Linked DNA regions of Coturnix japonica. The protein of the gene in region 1 interacts with the protein of each later gene in a biochemical or structural test. Links are inferred from orthologs where the notes say so. Each region holds a gene or a part of one and is shown on either strand. Other genes may lie near its edges.

Region 1 (10,264 bases):
AAAATATTTATCAGGAATAGCTCATATTTCTCTTATACCTAAAATTGGATTTTTAGTGTGTGCACATTTCTGTATCAGTTTCAATTGTAATTTGGGAAATAATATATAATAAGATAATATCGTTCCCATCCTGCAGCACACTGATTCAGAATTATAGTATAAATTGATGACTTCAGACTATTGGTGTGTGTGGTGCATGCTTGTGCATTCCTGTAGGCCAAGCTGGACTGCAGTCTGTCTTGCAGGATGATCCCTACATGATCCCAACTGGGATGGTTGTTGGGATCAACCCGATTTAAGAAGCAGTGTCTGCAAATGTTGGGTCAGCCTTGTGCCCATTCCTCTGCTCTGCCTGTGTCCCATGTCACCACCGAAGCAAAGCTCTGAATCCAAATGATGTCCACCTTTGAAATGTTTCCATGTGGCAGGGCTGTGTCAGCAATGTGCCATCCCCTTGATGCATAGAGTAAGGCATTTATTTTAAATATACCACCTCAGAAATAGACAGGAAAAAATGCACACATTTTTCTTACTTAAGTTGAAAAATAAATACAGCTGTGATTTAAAGGTATGTTTATCAGCACTGATGCACCTTGGCCTTACTCCAGTGGATTTCTCTCACTGACATCAGTGGGGAAAAGATGGGCTCTGCACAGTAAATCTAGGAATATTTTTTTCTTCTTTATCCATCCATCTATTTTGGGATGTGCTAAATGCTTGCTCTCTGTTGTAACATTAACATCAGTATGTGGAAACTTGGGTTGCTAAAATAAATCAGTGAAATGCAATATACATGACTTCACATAGAACTGCATGTACATTGTTGAGCACAAGCACTCTGTGTCCACTGTGCCATGCCAGCTGGACCCAGGGTGCTTCCTATTGTGCCCCGTGGGGTCTCACAGTGAGGCAAGGGAGAGCTTTGTGTTAAGGGTCTTCTTAGTTGAGTCTTCTTAGCTCCTGATCCAGCAAAATGTTTTTTGATTGCCATTACTATGGCTGTACATTTGAAGTAATGACACTTCCACCTGCCTCAGAGCAGGGGGATGGCAAGGTCTGTAGTACTTCTCAAAAGCAGCTTTTGTGCATGGGCCTGATTGTTTGCTAGAGGCAATGGAATTATCACCTGTATGGGAAGCTTTGATTTGTGAGGATCTGACTGTGTTTCCTTAGTTTTTGTGAGTTATTGACACTGCCTCCAGTTAGACTAAAGTGGGACTTTTTTCTGGTCTTAGCAGTTGCTCCTGATTCATGCTTGTATGAATTATAACACCGAAATTCATTTAATTCTTAGTTTTGGGGGGGAAGGGGGTGGGGGTGGGGAATGAACGCCAATAAGGGGAATAAAAAAAGGAAAAGCTGAACATTTACAAGCTGGACTTTGTTTTCTGCCCACAGCAAAGCTGGACTTTGTTTTCTGCCCACAGCAAAGCCAACAGGAGACCCTTACAAAGCTGGATGTTAGCTAAGGTGCTGAGGGGGCAGTCCTGCCCCAGCCTCTATGACCAGCCAAGTTCAACATGCCTGCACAGCAGCCCTGTGTCCTCTGTGCCCTCATTCATCATCCACCGTGGTCACCACTGCACACCACGAGGGAGCCCATGAGTTGCTTCTCTCTTTGAGGAGCTGCTCCTCCTGTTGAAGAGGTACAAGCTGCACAAATTCCTTCAGTACTAATCACCTAAGGGAGAATACAGTGACTGATCTGTCATCAAATGTTTAGAGCTGATGATGGTATCTGTTGTTTATTTGTTTGACTGTTCTTTAAACAAGAACCACAGCAATGTGACAAGGAGCAGGTTGTTGTGTGTGGGCTCCAGCAACTGGCTGTTCTAGTCCAAATGTACACATACACCCTGATACTTTCTTATCAATGACAATCTGCTTAGAGCTTCATGTTTTTCAGTTTTGTGGCAAGCTTGCAAGGTTACATGTATACACTGAATGAAACATACCCCACCAGTTATTTTTAGAAAGGCTCTAAACAAGAAGCAAATCCCTGGAGCAGTGCTGCCAGAGATGCTTAAAGTTCAAATCCAAATTAAAACTGCCAATCTTGGGCTTAAATTCCAACCTGAACTTGAGGAAAACTCTGATCTGTACCTTGAACTTTGTGACAGAAAGCTACTTCTAAGTCTTTTCTAGTACCTGAGTGTATATGAATATGGTATAGGCACTTAAAATTACATCTTGAATGGAAAATCTGTATATTTGATTGGGAATGTAGTACCTGATCTTGCAAAATGTCATCGTAAGGCTTTAACTTATAATTTAATTTATAGTAGCTACAATGGAATCTCGAGAGTCTAATTTATTAGGACTCCCACTTCTATCACAGCTTTGTAAGCTCTAGTCATGTAATAGTGAACTTGGGGGAACAAGACAAATATGCTTAATTTACCTCACAGACATTCTTAGTGAAGACCACTGACACATAAGACTTGGTTCAGAACTCACTGGGATACCACAGGAAGAAAGTCGACCCCTTTTCAGCAATGCCTTTGCACAAAGTAACTGAATGTAGCGCAGCTGAAGCAAGCACTTGATTTCTTTGCTGAATCAGAGCCTGTATCTTCTTCCTGCCAAGGCAGCGATCTTAACACTGCTCCTAAATGCACCAGTAACTCTAGAGGCTCTAATGAAAGTCAAGATAATGCCACAGATTTTATAAATAAGGGTCTTTATTTAGAATACTGTTGAAAACATTCTTGGCAATCACATCGTATAAATATATAAAGTTAAAGTTTGGCACAACAAACCAAGCAACATTAAATATATATTTTTAAAATTTTTCCTATTTTTGTTTTGTTTTTAATTTTAGCTTTTGTTTCATTTTTTCCCTTTTTCTCTCCTTTTTTTTTTTTTTTTTTTTTTTTTTTTTTTTTTTTTTTTTTTTTTTTTGCAAAGCAACTCTTATTTACAATTATACAAAAAGTTTTATAAAAAATGGTCCACAACCTTATTTTGGCCAGAACAGGGGTAATAAGAAGAAGGATCTGTCATGCCACAGCTGTTGTAGATTTCTCTTCTCCTCCATATTCAAGAGCCAGGTTCCTATTCTCCAAAGCCCAGATTAAACATTGGCCATTTCCCCGTATATGCTTTTATCTTTAGACATATTAAATAACTTCAGTTTAACAACCAATAAATAACTAAGTGTATTTTGCAGTAATACAGGTTTGAGAAGTTATAGAAGGAATTTTGCATGATACTTTCAAACTGGAACAAGCCATGAAGTCCTTTCTGTTTTAGAAAGCAGGTCTTGGAGCATGGTTGAACGGAGCAATTTGTTCTCGGCGCAGTCCGGCTGGACCTGCCTTTATAGCACTTGGTAGATTGGATTGCTGCTGCTGCTGCTGTCCTGGGGAAGCGGGGTGCAGTTGGTGGGGGAAGGAATCTGGGCTCCACTGTCATTCAGGCTTGCTCCTTCCTGGGGGGAACAGGGACTCCCTTCAGCAACAGCTTCAGCTGGAGGCAGTATGGGACATGTGGAGTTGTCTGTGGAAATCCTCTCCACAATACTTGAAAGGCAGTCGAGGCTGGAAACAACAGAACTCTTCCCATGCTTTGGGTCTGAAAACAAAGGCAAATGTGATCCATTTACCCACTGTGTACTTATATCATAGGATGTAGTTCTTTCATAAAGAAATGAAAAGCCCACTAAGTGGCTGAAGTGCACATCTGAGAGCATGCAAAGAATCAGAGGAAATGGGTATGAGTGAAGGATGCCAGTTATCAGGAAATGGATTGCAATCTGTGAAACAGAGGAGAGACCCAAGTGAAACAGGCTGCTATTCAGGGAGGGTGGATCCAGGGCTCTACTTCAGTCCTCAGAAAAGGAATGGAAGACTGGAATTCCATCAGGCATCTCTCCAGTTTGGATCAATGATACCTGGTTAGAACAGGCTTCAGGCAAAATGGGGTTAAGACTAAAAATCAGCAGCAGAGAAGGATGTGTTCCTAGACACTCTATTTGTAAAATGGGAAATGCAGATATAACATATCCCCTGCACTTGCAAATACATTTACATGAAATCCAGTGCTTCTGCCAGCCTCAGCAGCTCACTGGCTGGACAGGCAGGCTCCTTCCCCAGCCTGGCTAAGTGACTGGGGATGGAGAAGGCCATGGGGAGGCTACGGCAATGGCTGACCCCATCCTCCGTGCTTCACATAGACATATTCTCAACAGTAGATACTCACCATTTGGTGATTCTGTGTAGTAGCTGCTGTCATAACTGTTTCTCCTGCGAGAGCTGCAAGGCGGCCCGCTGTACTCCATCTGGAAAGGAGAATAATCTGAGTGAGGCTGGAGGGCTGCCTTTTCCACAGGTCCAGGAACCATCTGATCTTGTATTTCAGTAGCTAATCTGTGCAATCGCTCTCAGCTGAAATGCTGTCAAGTTTGTGTTGTAGAATGAAGCAGACAGAATTAACTTGCCAAAAAAAAAAAAAAGGAATGGATTTACACCAGAATGTGTAAATCCATGCTTGTTCCAAAGGCAAATTACCACCATTGCTATGACAGAAGCTGTGGCTTTACCAGAGATGAGGTTTTCCAGCAAACTCATCAGTACTGCCCTACGTGTATGGTCAGTTTAGGAAAGGAAGCTCAGGAGAGGAATTCTTTTGATCTAACTTTGGAAGACTTTTCCAAACCTGAGTTCCTCTGAGAAAGCCGCTACTCTACCTTTGGATTTCCTGCAGTTTCCCTTCTTACTCTGGTTTTGTAAAGAAAGACCGCCAAATCCTGACCAATATATTTCTGTTCAGTATGTGAATCTACAATGAAAAGGCTGCATTTTGAGGAGCGGATCTTTCTGTAACTCTCTCCCACCTGCCAACTATTTCACAGTCCCAAGAACTCAGCTCAGTGATTATTATCCCCACTAGAAAAAAAAATGCAGAAGTGTCCTTGTGGTCCTGTTCTCGGCAACAGTCCTGCAGCCACCCTTGTCCCCTCCCCATAACCCAAGGCTCTAAGCCTGGACTCTTTTTCTTGCTGGTAAATGTCTGCAGAGGGGTCAAGTGAGAGGAGAGCTGGCCTTCTTAAGGGTCAAGGAAAACAACTCCTGTTACTTGGGCCATCCTCCTGTTATCCCGATGAATGATAGAAAGCAAACACTATGCTTGACCAGTTGCCCTGCACGTTTTCCCCTGCAATTTCCACACCCAAGGGGACCTGCCTCACTGCTGTCCTTTGAGGGACAGACAGCAGAGCATGAAATCAGAGGTGCCTGGAGGCCATTGTGTTTGCAGGCACACAGGGACTGCCTAACCTTCCTCCCAGGAATCTAACAGACTTCCCTTCTCTTCCCAGAGACCTGGCGTGTGGGGACCCTGCTTCCCTCTGCTGCTGAACTATGAGGAGGAAGGACCTCATCTCCTGCCCAGGGCACTCACCATGCCATCGGAGCAGTTGGAGCGAGGGCTGGAGGCATCTGACTCCCCGCTGTAGTGCTCCAGCACTGGGTAGTACGCATCCTCCTGCTCGCGCAGCAGGGCCTGCAGGCTCTCGATGTAGCGGATGGCGTTCCTCAGGATCTCCACCTTGGGCAGACGCTGGTTGGGGTTGGTGGAGGTACAGCGCTTGAGGGTCTCGAAGGCTTCATTGACCTTGCTGAGCCGCCGCCGTTCCCTCATGGTGGCGGCTTTGCGGCGGTCAGCATTGGTGGTTTTCCTCTTGCAGGCCTTGCATGCCCACAGCAGGCAGCGGCCGGCCTGATGGTGCCCACTGGGTGCCCGCACATGCTCCTCCTCGTGTGGGTGCCCGTGGTGGTGCCCGTGGTGGTGCGGGTGCTCCTCAGGCTTCAGCAGCCCACCCACGTGCACCAGCCGGGGGTCCAGGTCCTCGAAGAAGTGCATGTCCGATGTGTTGAAGCACGGGTCATCGTAGAAGTCGTCAGCGGCCGCGAAGGAGCAGAGGGAGCCCTCCGTCATTTCCATGGGGCCCAGTAAGTCCATGGGGGCGATCGGGAATGCGGAGCGGGGCGAGAGGGTGGTCGGGGGGCGCGGGGGGGTCCCGAGGGTGTCTGTGCAAGGCAGGCAGGGAGTGGGGTCCTCGCACCCTGTCCCAGGCGAGGCCACCGGCGCGGGTTGTAACTGCTGGCACCACCACCACCGCCGACCCCTCCCCAGCCGCACCGCCTCGGGAGCGCCGCTCGGGGCCGTATTTATGCCGGAGCCCCCGGCGGGCCGGGGCGGGGCGCGGCGGGGCGGGGAGGGGGCCGCGGCTAACGGAGCCCCCGGAGCCTCGGCCCCCTGCGGGGGGGAAGGGGGAGTTGCGCGCGGCGGCGCGGGGAGGGCCGAGCGGCCCTCGGGTGCCGGATCCCCGCTCGCCGGAGGGACGGCCGCGGCCGCACGGTAACGGCGGGGGCGTCCGCGACGGAGCCGGGAGCGGGGGACGGCGCGACGAGCCGGGGCGGCGGGGCGAGGACAGCGACGGGGTCGGGGCTGCGGCGCGGCGCGGCCGCCTGCAGGGGGGAGTAGCGGCCCGCGGCCGTCGGCGGAGCTCGGGGAAAGCGGAGGGAACGGGAGCGAACCGCCCCGTCGGAGCTGCGGGAAGAGGCTCCGGGCCCGACGGGCGGCTCGCGGAGCGCCGCGTCCTTCGCCCCGCAGCGACGCGCCGGGGCTGCTGCCGCGTGCTTTCTGACGGCGCTCGGGCGCGTGACGCCGCTCGGGAGCTGTTCTGTCAGAACCCCAGCGGAGCGCCCGCACCACGAGGTGTGAGGATGGGGACGGGTGCCGCCATCGACGGGTCGTGCCCCGGAGCTGCGAGGGGTCGGGCGGGGCTCGGGCACGGTTATCGGAGCTTGGCCTGAGGCACGGGGCACCGCGACTGCGGGAAACGCGCGGCTCCTGGGCTGAGTCGTGCGGCCGTGGTTCTGCTGTGACCCACCTGAGTTACAGTAAGTGACTCTTTGCACCTCGGCTCAGATGTGTACGTTTGCGATTCAGGTTCCCCTTTGAACTCGAGGCTCAGCTTACCTTAATTCCAAAGCCTTTGAAGAGATTGACATTACGTCGCGAGTGGCATTGTGCCGCACGTGTAACCACACTGCAGTCCAATTGCTTGTGCAATAAGAGTGCAATAAGCTTTCTTGGGCAGAAAGCTGTGGCAGAGTTGGGGATATGGAAGAGTTGTGTGGCTTTGGTAACATCTCTCAAGGCTGCTGGAATCTGGGTTTGGAATATCACTTGAGCTGCAAAGTTCAGGTCTTTCTCCAGTACTGAAGTACTGCAGCACTTCTGCTGTGTGATTTCATTAACTTTATGATTAAGGGATTAATGGACACTTTTAATCTCCTGTTCTGCAGTTATAAATGCTGGTGACATTCGGACTCCTTTAAAATCAAAGACAAAGCTCGCTCTGCAGCAAAGCTGAGAGCATCTCAGAAGGTGATGGAACATCAGTTGGGTCCATGGTCCCGACGCCTGTGGCAGCTCAGATGGGCTGTCACCACAGCGGATTCTTCTGTTGTTCTGTCATTCAGTTTTTTATTGAGTCTAGATAAAGGTAAGAATTGTTAGTCACATTCTGTCATTACCCCAAAGATTTATTTATTTATTTATTTAAGTAGATGTTTTGGGCTCTGTACAAGTTTGTTCTTTCACTGTATCCAGAGCAGCTATTGATCAGCCCTACACATGCAGAAGTGTATCTCCCAGCTGTTCTGAGGCAGAGCAGCAAGCTCATGGAAACACTCCACTGTTATCATAGAGGCTCTTTGATCTGGAAGCAGAGAACAAGAATGTTTGTTTTAACCTTTATAGAACAGCTAAAGTAAAAATAACTTGTATTCAAAACAATGTTTTGTATACTATAAGACAAAACAAGTAGAAATGAGAAACATTGCATGGTTTAACAGCTGTGCATTGGCTGTCGAGCATTGGTGCTGGCCTTGCTGACCCACTCAAAACAATGGAACTTTGCTCAGGTCATTGGTTTAATTAGTGGAAATGCTAATTTTGCTAATATTTACTTAAAGCTACAGCGTCATCTGCCACTGTGAGTGTGCATCTAGGTTGTATCTGACCCCAGGAAAAGGCATTTGAGGACTGGCACGCGCAGTGGTTAATTTGGGCAGAGTGGCAACAGATGGTGAGACTTGGACAGGCAATACTGGGAGTCTGCCAGTAATTGCCTATGAATGCTCGGAAGTGCATGAGCTCACCTAAGTGGAAAAGTCAGGAGAAAGCCATGACCAGCTGGTGAGTTCTGCTCAGAATTGTCTTGCAGTGAAGCTGCCCTTGAGCAGCTTCAACTTGCTTTAGCAGGGGGTTGGACTAGATCATCTCCAGGCCCTTCTGGCCTCTGATTCTGTGAGGATGCGTTCCTTGCAGCTGGCACCAAAACTCAAATTGTCTTTCTAGCATTTTGCCCAAGGATAGTTTTGTCCGTATAGATGTTATGGGCCAGAAACAAGTCTTTGCAAAGAATAGTATTGCAAGATGCTCTTCTCAATTTTGTGCGGCCAGAGAAGAGGAAGGATATGGCACTTGAAGAGACTTGAAGTGAATTCCTCACTCTGATTGCAGACAGCAGCTATCTCCCTTTCCATACAACCACAGGAATTTCTTATGGCAGCATTTAGAAATGCACCATTTTTGATTCCTGTTTCAAAGCCTCTGTTGCTGTGACTCATAATTTTAAGTAAAGAATAGGTCTCTTCAGAGCTTCCAGTTTGAATGCTATATTTACTGCAGCGATGTTTCTGCAACTGTTCTGGATAATTTGGGCTTTGCTTTGTAAGAACAGATACGGAGTACATGTATGACAGCATTCAGCAGTGGAAGAGTATCTGTACAGTTGCTTTAAATGCTGTTGACTTTATACCTGTTTGTTTCACACTGATCCTACATCTCATTTTGTCAGGGCATGGTTGAAATGAAGCTGAGAAGAGAGTTGCAGGTTGTACTTCCTGCACTGCGAAGCATGGAGAGGATCATCCTGTACACAGTGGATGGGTTCTGCTGACAGAGATCACAGACACACATGCCTCACAGCACAAGCGTCACGTGGACAAGAAAAGCTTTGGTTATCTACAGTAACTGATTTTTTCTTTTTCAGAGGATACACTGGGAAAACAGCTGATGGTGAGATTACCTAGAATTAATAGAACTGTCTCTTCAGGCAGAGTCCAGAAAGTATGTTGGAAGAGAGAGAATAAAGGCCTAAAATCTGAAAAAGTACAAAGATAAAGATGAGAAGAGTCTCTGAGAAGCACATATGGCAGTATTTCTGGGGAAAAGAAGCAGCAAGTAAGTCTTACATTGAAAAGTTTAAATGTTGGGCTCCTTGTTCTGTTTGAATTCATTTAAGGTCTTCAGTGCTTGAAACCAATTCCTGTATTGTAGGCTAGCAAATCTTAAAGAAGACTGTTGTATATCAAACATTGCCTGTACTAGCTATGTGGCACTAGCTAATAACCCAACTAGCAGTTTTTCTCCATTCATACTTAGTGAGCTATGTATTAATACTGAGAAGAACGGATTCCATTGCTCTTATTCATGTTGAGTTGCAGTCAGTGGAACTAATTGTTGAATAAGGTATGCTCAGCGTGAAGGTGGGTGTTGGAATCCGGCCCAGATGGAAATATCTGTTAAACTACTGCTGTATTTGAGAGCAGCCACCCCAAACAGACAAATCCAGCATGTTGCTAAAAGCTTTTCAAACCATTCTTGTGGCACAATGCAGTATTTTTGCTGGAGAATACAGGAGATGTTTTAAAGTAATTTTCCCCAACTAAAAGACAAAAAAAAAAAAAAAAAAAAGTTGAGTCATTGCACTAGAAAGATGGGGAAAGCATCAGTGCTGTAATCATCTGTCATGTTGCAACACTAACAGAAATTAAGTGCTCTAAACAGCTTTACAGAAATGGGTTATTAACTGCAGCGGTGTAAGGGAGTCACAAAGCACTTACTGAAAGTGTGTTATTGTGCTTCTTTGTCACCTTAATACAGTCTTCTGGCATTTATTTTCATTCTGTGGTCTACTGCTTTCATCTTTAAATTCATCTGTGCAACTTTCTCGATCACAGCTAAGTACTGGTGTCATTTCATAGACGCACACAAAATCTCTTGGAAAGTACTGTCACGCTTGTAATATAAAATGAGGAATACAGCATAAACGCAAAGTACCATTTTTTACTATGGAACTGAATTTATTTTCAAACATTATAGAAACACTGTCTGTAATGTTACATAAAAGTAAGAATCTTTCAAGGAAGCAAACCCCAATTGCATAAAAATGTGGTATATAACATGT
Region 2 (10,264 bases), about 15 Mb from region 1:
GCTGTGCTGATGATTCTGATTTCTTCCTTTGCTCTCCTAGAAAGCTGTTAACTGAAATACTGAGGAAAAGAAGCAGAAAGTCCTTGATGTTCACATTGTTGCTCTTGGTTCTGAACAGCACAATGTTTCCTGGAGCAGCTCATAGGAGCCTCATAGTTTATGTTCTTATGCTGAGACTTGTGTTTCCATTTTTGCCAGTGTCTGATACTTCAATAGTTATAATTCACGCTCAAATAATTGCTTTTAATTACTGAATACATTTAATATTATATTTGAATATATATATACGCTATACAAACTCTTCTATTTGTTCTTCTTTTTAGATACAAGGCTTGAAACAACATCCGCACCCTGCATCTCACAGATATCAGAACCCACCAATTCCAAGGAGCAATGCTCAAAAAACCTTTTTCCTTCAAGAATAAAGCAGAACTTCACTCGGCATCCCTCCCTAATCAAGTTAGTTAAAAGCATAGAAAGTGACAGAAGGAAGATCCAATCTGCTCCAACCAGCCCAGTTAAAATAAGCCCAAGTATGTAGCTGAAAACTTTATTTGTCTCTCTCTTTCTAGTCATGTTTTTCACTTGAATGTGGAGTCTTGTACTAAATATACAGACTTGCCTTCTGATAGAAGATGTGGATGAGTGAATAAGTTAAAACACCTGTTGTTTGAACAAGTCAGAAACAAACAAGATGGGGGGAAATGAAGTGTATGTTGTCTGTAAATCTTGAAGCTTTATGAGACTGATAGTGGGAACAAATGTAACACATGTTCCGAGAATCAGCTCTGCAATTAGTAGAAACAAAGTAGAAATAATGCAGACTCAAGATAGAATTACACTTAAACATTAGGATACGTTATCAGTTCTGTTGGTTTTGTTTTCTCCCTTGAAGCAGGTACAGATGAAAACGTATCAGCTTATACAAGTAAAGTGTCTCAGCTCGCAGCAGTTCCTCAATATCAGCTGGAAGAACCACCAAAGTAAGTTTGCGCAAGTGTCATGTTTGGAAGCTTTTTGTCACTGACTGTTAAGTTCAATCTCTGCTTAATTTGAGTTGGGCAGTGATCTGCAAAAACCTGTAACCTCTGTTGCTCCTGGCTATGGTTTCACTTGGAGCTTTCTGTTCGGTTCATCAAGACATACAAATTCACACTGACTTTGTAAGGTAAAAAATAATTACACAGGACATTTCTGCATGAAAACACTAAACTATGCATTTTGACTTTTTTCTTGTTTTAAGGAGACCAAAAGACATGAAAAATAACGTGTTGGGATCTGCTTTGGAGCACAGTCTGCCCTGGCCTGAGGCAGCTCCCAAGGCCAACACTCACACTGCTGCACCCCCTCCAAAATTGCTTCTCACTCAGCCATTGGGTGCCCTGCCTCCGAGCCACCGCTCAGCATCACCAGTGATCCTACCTCAGCCTCATTCTGGTGCCTCCTATGCAGTATATGTGCATCCTTCTCAAGCCCACGCTGTGACAGCGTACAGCCCAAGCTTCATGTTGCAGCCTCTACCGTGTGCTAATGTGACAGGAATTAAAAGTATTCATCCAAAAGCATTAAGTGAAATGACCGCCAAGGAAGGGGACAATTGCACAGCCGCAGCTGATGCAGGAAAGGCCACGGCAGCTGAAGAAAGACCAGTTATAGAGCCTGAGTCTTCATCAAAGAGGTGCCTTAAGAGATCTCAAGCACTACAAGAGAATAACTTGATTAAAAAGTGTAGAAGTGATGAGGAAAGCCTTGAAACTGCTGTGGTAAGTCAATTTCTGTCTGTCTGGTTTATAACCTAGTGGTGGTGTCAATATGATGTGGAGTTAACATGATACACAAAGAGAATAGGAGGTTCAGATACACTTGATGCACATGAAGAAACGGGGTCTGGATAATTTTCCACTCCTCAGTTGCCAGATGCTTCCATGTCTGTAAATTATTAGGCTGCTTCAAATTGTGCTTGTCAAAACTGCCATGAAATCAGGAGAAACTCTGCTTTTCTGATTCATAAAACATGTGACCTTCTTAATTACAGATGTACTGTGATAGCCGTGCCTCTTACAGTGCCTGTTTTCTTTTAAAGGGAGAACTCAATAAACACGAAAGACCACCTTCCATCGGCTCACAAACCAACAACGAAATGGACAACTTCCAGGAAGAGAAACAGAGCAGATCTGAAGATCAAAGCGTGGAAAGTTGTTCTGAGCAATACAAAAGAGAATGTGCTCCAGAAGATGAGGACAGAGCCAAAGCTAAACAGGACCTACCTGTAGCATTTGCCATTCCTGCTCATGAGGTGAGCTTTGCCACACAGCACAGCAGTTCTTGCTGTTAGCTGGGAAAAGACCACGTGGAACAATCTGCAAAGGAAACGGAACTGGAATCACTACACATATATAGATTTGCCTTTAGTTGCATTACTATGCAGAATGCTTTAGAAAAAAAAGACTCTGTAGGGCCTCGCTACCCCCAGGCAGATCCACACTCCCAGCCAGTTTGGTGTTATCTGCAAACTTAGTGAGGGTGCACTCGATGCCCTTCATCCAGGTCATCAATAAAGGTATTGAAGAGGATGAAGATAACTAAGTAGATGGAAGCGATACTGAGATCTCATACTGTCCTAGACTGTTTTTTATAAATATTTAGTTCACAATGCTTTGATGTCCACCAGCAATGCAGTAAAACCCACCATTCTTCTTAAAAGAAAATAAAGAAATCCACATAAGGGTATCTGAGAATGAAGCTGAATGACTTGTGTGGATGAGGACTTTTAGAGCACAGCTATGAGTCAAACTGAGTCCAGTTTCAGATGGGAGCCAGTATAGGCATGGACTATCCCAAGCCTTGGGGATTATGAGGGATATAGGATAAGAGAGCGGCAAGGGGAGTGTGATTTTGAAGAAAAGCTTATATTTTTCATGCACCTTTGATGTAAATGTGTATTGTCTTTTTCAGACCTTTTTTCCATCTGGGTACCTTATCCCTCTAACTCAGTGCACTCACCATAGCAACAAGGCAGCTCTTTCTAATAGAGAGAAAGCTGGGATATGTTCTGTGCAGCACACCACTACCCACAGCTCACCCACTGCAGGTGAGTACCAAGGGATATATACACACAGATGCTCGGTTTGAAGGATTGTAAGTCAAAGTCATCCTACCAGAGCTGTGAAATCACAATGCAAGGCCTCTACTTTCAATTTTCAATCCTTCCAACGCTTGTTTTTTTCTGTTTCAGGTGTCATTCCAATGATAGCATCTGAAATGAAAGCAGTTAACATTCCGGCTTTTCATATAACGTCCTTGAACATCATGCTGTCACCAGCTTCTATAGCTGCTGCACCTGTACTGAACAACTCCCACCTCAATTCTAGCAGTAACAGTTCAGTCCCAAACCCAAGTTCTTCACTTCTGAACTTTACACTGCAGCACATAGGAGTGATGCCTGCTGGTGTGCAAGTCCCTGCAAACCCCGTTCTTCAGCACATCCCAATCCTATCAAAACCAGAAAGCACTAATCGTAGTAGCTCAGAAAACGCGACCTTACAAGAGGAAAAGGTAAGAAGCAACGTATTGCAATGGCTAAACCATAGGTTGAGTGAGAAATAATAATATCTTACTTGATGAGAAAGTGGAGCCAGCTGGAGGAACTGAAGGATGACAAGGTGTGAGGAGCCTTGGAGAGGACGCTGGATAAGAAATGACACATGCTTATAAACTGCTTGTTGCCTTCTGTCAGCTGTTTGTGTAGTGCTGAATTGCCTACAGTTGGAAGTGAAAGGAGATAAAACAAATCAGTTTATTAACATATATATATATGGGTATATAGATGTATAGCAAAGAAAAGGATGCTCTTCTCCACATTGCTGATAGATAGGAAGAAATGTGTTTGCTAACATTCTGCACATACCTACAACTAGAATGGACTGACACTGATCTCTCCCTTTTCTTTTAGCCCCCTGTGCCAAAGGAAGCCCCGGAGCCTCAGCCAGTGACAGAAAACTTCTTCCGCACACCAGGAGGACCAAACACAACCCCGTCACTGTCTGCAACCTCAGGTGGTACCGACACAACCCCTCAAGGAACCTCACACATTGCTCAACGAAAACTTGAAGTGCCAGAAAACTGATCTTTGGGCATCAAATCGCCGGCTGTGTTAGCAGTGTAATTACTGATATAGCACAATGCACATGGGATGTGTTTTGGATGTGATTGGCAAGACAACGATACTGGAATAGCCTGAACGCTGTAGAATTCAAACTGGCTTTACTATGGAAGTTCAGGCTAAGTGTTTTTACACAAGGCTTTTCTAAAGCAACTGAGTTTTGTATCTCATTCTGCGTTGCTCTTCTGCTATGCAAAGTAAACTGAAAGTGTCTGTACAGAAAGGTACCGTCTATCAATCAGTGCATGTTTTGCACAGAGAAAGTACTGTGAGCCTGTACATATTTAATGCTTCCCTTAAAGGCCGTAGTTAGGATTTCTTGTGCTCCTGTGTTCAGCTGCTCCTCTTTTATAAGGTTAGCTTTGAAAAAAAAAATCTTTAACAAAAAAAATTAAGTTTTTATATAAGTTAAGAATTATTTATACTGCGTTGTAAAAATAATTTGTTCAGACAAAAAAATTGCATCCAACTCATTTTGACTTTTTTTTTTGTTGAATGGAATTAAATGACTGGTGTTGCTGTAATATGTCGTACGCTGAATGGTGGTTTTTTGGTCAAAGAAGGATTCTATAGAAGGGGAAAATGGTGTTTAATCAGCAAGGGGCGTAAAGAACTTGATCTGGCTTTCTGAATGAGGGATACTCACTGTCACATAGGGCAGTATCCAGCAGGAGGGAGTCCTGCATATACACATATGTATATATATACACACATATATTTATCACTGTTTTGGTAAATTATCTTTGGCAACATGACTATGACTAAACCTTCATTTCAGGCTCCTTATGTTCCACATCCAAGCACCGATCCATCGAGCTTTCATCTTTATTTCTGATCCATTAGGCTGCGCTCAGGAATGCGCCGTAGGTGTCATCTGAGGGGCCGCATTGTTGTCCACCTACTCACAAGTGGACACAAGGGAACAAAATGCCAGGCTTTTGTCAGCAGCTATTTTCAGCTTGGTGATAGCAATGGCATTGCTCTGATCCCCAAAGCTCTCTCCTCTTTCCCCTCCCCTCCCTGCCTATAGGGCCAGCAGCGGCAGCCCCTGCCTTTAAAGAGCACAGGAACCCCTCCAGTTCAAATCCTTTGAGGCTTAAGAGAAGAGGGAGAAACACCAAGCCACACCGTAAGTACAGCACGTGGGGTTCTGCTGGCATTTGATAGAAGGGTTTGGGTCTTTTTCCCCAATAGAAATAGCACGAACGTGTACAGAATACTGTGCCTGAGCTCAGCTGTGATGGCTTAGACTCAGTGCAGGAACACAGAGAGAAGGATGTGGTGGAAGAAGAGGCAAAGCTGATAGCACAGCATTAGGTCTGAACAAAGGAACGGCTCCTTTGTGCTGCAGGACTTGGTTTCCAAAAGAATCAAATGATGCTGGGAGGAAAGGGGTGGGTTTTAGGTCGGTTTGTTGCTATTTGTTAAGTCATAACTAAATACTTAGTTCCAACATCAGCACATTCTGGGTTTTAGAGGTGCCAGCAGCCGTTTCATTTGGCATCACTGCTGTCTATTACAGAAGCAATTCTTATCTTTATACTTATAACTGATGCAGGACATCTCACTCTATGACTAAAGCAGGACTACAGGGCACATCCCAGGACCCTCATAGAAGGGGTTTCACTGTGACTTACTCCTATGGCTCCCCATCAGGTGATGCCAAAGCAGCATGGAAAATGTGCCTGCACACCCAGTCATGTTACCATAATTAGCTCAAGAGCCCTGGTTCTTCTAAGAGGTCTATAAACCACAGCCTGTAACAGCACAAGGCTCCCTATCAGAAATGGGAGAAAGGCTTCAATGGTGTTATTCCACAGCATTCCTGAGGAAGAAGGAAACAAATGCATAACCCATTCCTTCCATACAGCTCCATCGCATTTCTGCCACTGCAGATAAGCACAGCTCAAGGCAAGCTGGATTTTTCTCTCCCGCACATCATTAGCGCTTCACAGCTGTCAGAGCAGTGAGGGAACTGACTGATAGAGTCTGAAACAGCTTAACGGCAGGGTAAAACTGAAGCTGCTTTCAGTAGCTTCTATGTTACATTGCTGCTGTGTCAAACCCCACTCTTATACATGGCAACTAAAGAAAATTTCAGGCTTGAGCCAGAGTTCAAAGTCCTTCCCTTAGTTCAGAACACCCCGTAGTGGGTTTAATCAAATCCAAACAGGACTTTGAAAGACCTATAATAAGAAAGTGACTGGTTTTCCAAGAAGGACAGAGGCGGCCTGAGCCAGGAGCTCCAACATCCTGATAACGGGACGTGCAGATGACAAGATGACGGCACAGACCTTCCAGAAACAATGACTCAAACCAGAAGAGCAAAGCGCAGATTGTGGCTGCTCCAGCTGCGTGATAGCACAATATCAGGGCACTTACCCAGCACAGTCCAGTGACCCGAGCTCAGCTGCTGGCTCTCATGCTGCTCCCTCACACGACCTTGGGCAAGTCACTTCCATAGGCACTGGAATAGGAAACACAACACTCTCACCATCAGACTTTTAGATTTCTAACAGTGGACAAATAAAAGCCCCTTAGGAAGGGGTCACTACTTTATAACAGCAGTCACGAAGCTCAGTGACCAACGTGGTTCCATGACAGCATCCTCAGTAAGCACACTGTATCTGTGCAGCTTCACAGTGGAACTGGTTCAGATATGAACTGGATGGTGGGATGTCACACTGACAGAGAAAACTGCCATTGCTAAGGAAGCAGATCCTCCCTAGGGGCTACCTGGCAATAGCAGTTGAAAGGAAATAAAGTTAAGTACCACCTTTTTCTATTGGATTTACTCATCAAGTCTGATTCTCTAGGTTACCCTTCACATAGGAAGATGCCAAACTGGGGAGGTGGGGCCAAATGCGGTGCCTGCGAAAAGACAGTGTACCACGCTGAGGAAATCCAGTGCAATGGAAGGAGTTTCCACAAGACCTGCTTCCTCTGCAGTAAGTGCAAGTTTAAAACCACGTAATTCAGCTATTTCCATTACAGCCTGCAATGCTTCCTTTTGCATTGCCTTGCATCCAAGGAGAAACACAATGAAGATGCTCACGGTTGGCCTAACTCAACCTGTTTGCTCATGGGACGTTTAGGGTAGGTCTTAAGACAGCCCAAGCAACATAGAGGATGGTAGAAATATATCCCCTGCAGAAGTCTAAGGTCAAAAAGTAAAGGATGCAACAAAGCCTGGCTGGTAAGTACCAGGTATGTGAATTGGCTTTGCTTTCCCCTTGATTCACAAACACTGATCAGCAGCTTTGTACTGGATCCTTCAGCATCACATACCACGTTCACGGGCTTTGCAGTGAATCAATGATGGGATTTCATTCCTCCAACCTTAGTCCCCATACAGTTTGCCTACCTCGTTTCCCTGTCAGGTTACTTACAGCACAGCCATGATGGACATATAACAGGGACCTCATGCTATCAACCTGAAAGCCCCCAGTGCCAGCTATGTGCTGGCAGGTGGCAGATCCCAAAGCTATCTCAACAATAGCACTTGAAGGGCTTTTGCTCCATCTGTTGCAGTGAATTGATACTCTATCCCTACAATGACAGAAATAGAAACACTTTACTGCTCAAGTTTCCAGCATCCTCTAACTCCCACAGCAAACATAATGACCATCTCAAAGCTGAAGAGACCACAGTTTGTATGTTTAAAAGGAATCAAATAAGGGCCTTCTGTAATTAAAGAGCATCTCTCTTGATGGGGTGGGGGCTGCCACACTCCCAGCTCCCAGTGTATGCAGACACCAAACACACACAGCGTCACTATTGCTTTCTCCCCATTCATTAGTGTCTCAGTTTCCAGGCGCACGCAGCAAGGAGACTCACTTGCCTGGTAACAGAATCCACTCATTGAAGGCAGATCAGGTTTCAGATCTGCAAAGCACAGCAGAGAACTTAGAGATCAACCTGCCTTCCATACCCATCTGATGAGACTCAGCAGACATAAGAGTGGCCTTAGCAACGGCTCTTGGCTCCACGTGCCATCCATGCCTTTCAGATAAGGGACACATGCCTACCAAGACAAGCAGCTGCTCGCACTCAGAGACTTCAGGTCCATTCAACCAGAGTCTAGATTTAAAGCAGTGACATAGAGGGTACAACTTGCACTCTACTGCGTGCCACTGTCACGGCACATTCTGTCCCCAGGTCTACTGATATTTACCCTTTATGCCTCTCTTCCTTCTGGCAGTGGCTTGCAGGAAGGCTCTGGACAGCACCACAGTGGCAGCTCATGAATCTGAAATCTACTGTAAGACTTGCTACGGGAGGAAATACGGCCCCAAAGGTGTTGGATTTGGACAAGGGGCTGGATGTCTCAGCACTGACACTGGGGACCATCTGGGCCTGAACCTGCAACAGTGAGTCCAACCCTAATGGCAGCACCATGTGTCTGCCTGGTGCTACCTGTCACTCAGGGCTGTTTCAGGTACCCTGTAACAGAGGTATTTTCCAATCACAATGATTTCCTGACTCTGTAACAGTGTCTTTTCCATGCTGGACTTGTTGATCTTAGCAGTCTTTTCCAACCTTAACACAGCAAACTTGTGTTTTAGGGGATCACCAAAGCCTGCTCGCCCTTCTACACCAACTAACCCTTCCAAGTTTGCCAAGAAGGTGGTTGATGTGGATAAATGTCCCCGCTGTGGCAAATCAGTGTACGCTGCAGAGAAGATAATGGGAGGAGGAAAAGTAAGTAAAAAGGTTACTAAAAATACAAACAAACCCTTTTCCCCCTACACTGATTAGCTATAACTAATAACCCTTGAAGATTTTGCCTGGTTGATGAAGAAAACATAAGGTTGAATAAGCAAAACATCCAACGTACTGACTGTCAGATTTCAAGTCACATTGAAGCTATGCTTTTCCATAAGCCTACAACATTTTGCATCTTAAGGTCTGAGGGTCAACCCTTCCTTTTTGGCTCCTGCTGTCATCCTGCTATAACATCTCTTGGGACAGTTATAATCTAAACATTGATTTGTAGGGGCAAATGCAGATATATTAAAGAGATCCTATGACCAGAAAAAACAGCACTGTGATATGCTGGCCCTCTGCTCTAGAAGCTCTTACTCATTATCACACCATGATGTGGCCAAGGAGAGCGCTATCTACAGCTCTCTGCTTTTTACCAGAGTTCCAACAACAAGAAGCTCATTAAATAAGATCCTAAAACTAATCTAAAAAGTACTGAACTTGTAAGCCCAGGAAGACAAAATTAACCTCACCGCACAACAAGAAGCAACAGCTGTTCCTTGCATCCACTAGCTCTGCATCTTCTGTAATATAACAAACCATCTTCATCCCTTCAGCCTTGGCACAAAACATGCTTCCGCTGTGCTATCTGTGGAAAGAGTTTGGAATCTACAAACGTTACAGACAAAGATGGAGAGCTCTACTGTAAAGGTAAGAATTATTCCTTTTAGACCTAATATTGCTGTTGTGATTTGCCTTGCTGCATTGCTTGATAACAACAAATCACAAAAGCCACTTAGGGAAGCATTCACAATACTCTTTACCTTTTCCTTTCTTTTGCAGTTTGCTACGCAAAGAACTTTGGCCCCAAAGGAATTGGTTTTGGTGGCCTCACTCAAGTGGAAAAGAAAGAATGCGAGTGAAAAGAAGCGGATGCAACAGAGTCAATCTGCTGCTGATGTCAGCAGATAATAGTTGTCAAGTAAAACAAAAGCCATCACCTACAGCTTGTAACATAGGGCGTTCGTGAGATACTTTCCATCTTGCAGGACAACTCTTAGAACAGCTTAAAAAAGGTACAGTGATCAAGTCAGGTTCTTATACTAGTATTTACCACAGTTCAGACTTTAAAGAGTCTGTCCCATTCGGACAGAGATACCCTATGAATCACAAGGGTCAGAGTCTTTTGATCTAGGCCAGTTTCCTCATAGTGTTTTGAAGACTTCAACATTATTTCTAAGGCAGAGTAGATATTATTCACTTTGACACAGTTTAGAAGTATTTGAAATTCCCTCTCTAAAAGGGAGATCCTTCTGAAGATAAAGCAAGTCTTCTTAGAATATAGAGTTTAAGTTTTGTTATTGTACATTTTCAAGCTACAATAAAGTGCTCCTATTG

The links.
Region 2: the proteins of MYOD1 (region 1) and CSRP3 form a complex in vitro, tested with the Homo sapiens proteins (2 studies listed by BioGRID and IntAct, with this or other methods). The link is inferred for Coturnix japonica from reciprocal best matches to the Homo sapiens genes MYOD1 and CSRP3.

Annotation. Positions count from the first base shown.
Region 1 is NC_029520.1:16,194,654-16,204,917, reverse strand, and holds MYOD1 (myoblast determination protein 1 homolog), read right to left. Parts: upstream 6,134-10,264; 5' UTR 5,962-6,133; coding exon 5,401-5,961; intron 4,280-5,400; coding exon 4,201-4,279; intron 3,574-4,200; coding exon 3,320-3,573; 3' UTR 2,879-3,319; downstream 1-2,878. Other genes in the region: uncharacterized protein LOC107314671, read left to right, coding at 9,201-9,258. UniProt on the Homo sapiens protein: Acts as a transcriptional activator that promotes transcription of muscle-specific target genes and plays a role in muscle differentiation. Together with MYF5 and MYOG, co-occupies muscle-specific gene promoter core region during myogenesis.
Region 2 is NC_029520.1:1,435,517-1,445,780, reverse strand, and holds the start of CSRP3 (cysteine and glycine-rich protein 3), read left to right. Parts: upstream 1-5,167; 5' UTR 5,168-5,291; intron 5,292-6,978; 5' UTR 6,979-6,998; coding exon 6,999-7,110; intron 7,111-8,363; coding exon 8,364-8,532; intron 8,533-8,727; coding exon 8,728-8,863; intron 8,864-9,483; coding exon 9,484-9,577; intron 9,578-9,709; coding exon 9,710-9,789; 3' UTR 9,790-10,264. Other genes in the region: transcription factor E2F8, read left to right, coding at 324-533, 896-983, 1,244-1,763, 2,084-2,296, 2,956-3,091, 3,236-3,555, 3,953-4,126. UniProt on the Homo sapiens protein: Positive regulator of myogenesis. Acts as a cofactor for myogenic bHLH transcription factors such as MYOD1, and probably MYOG and MYF6.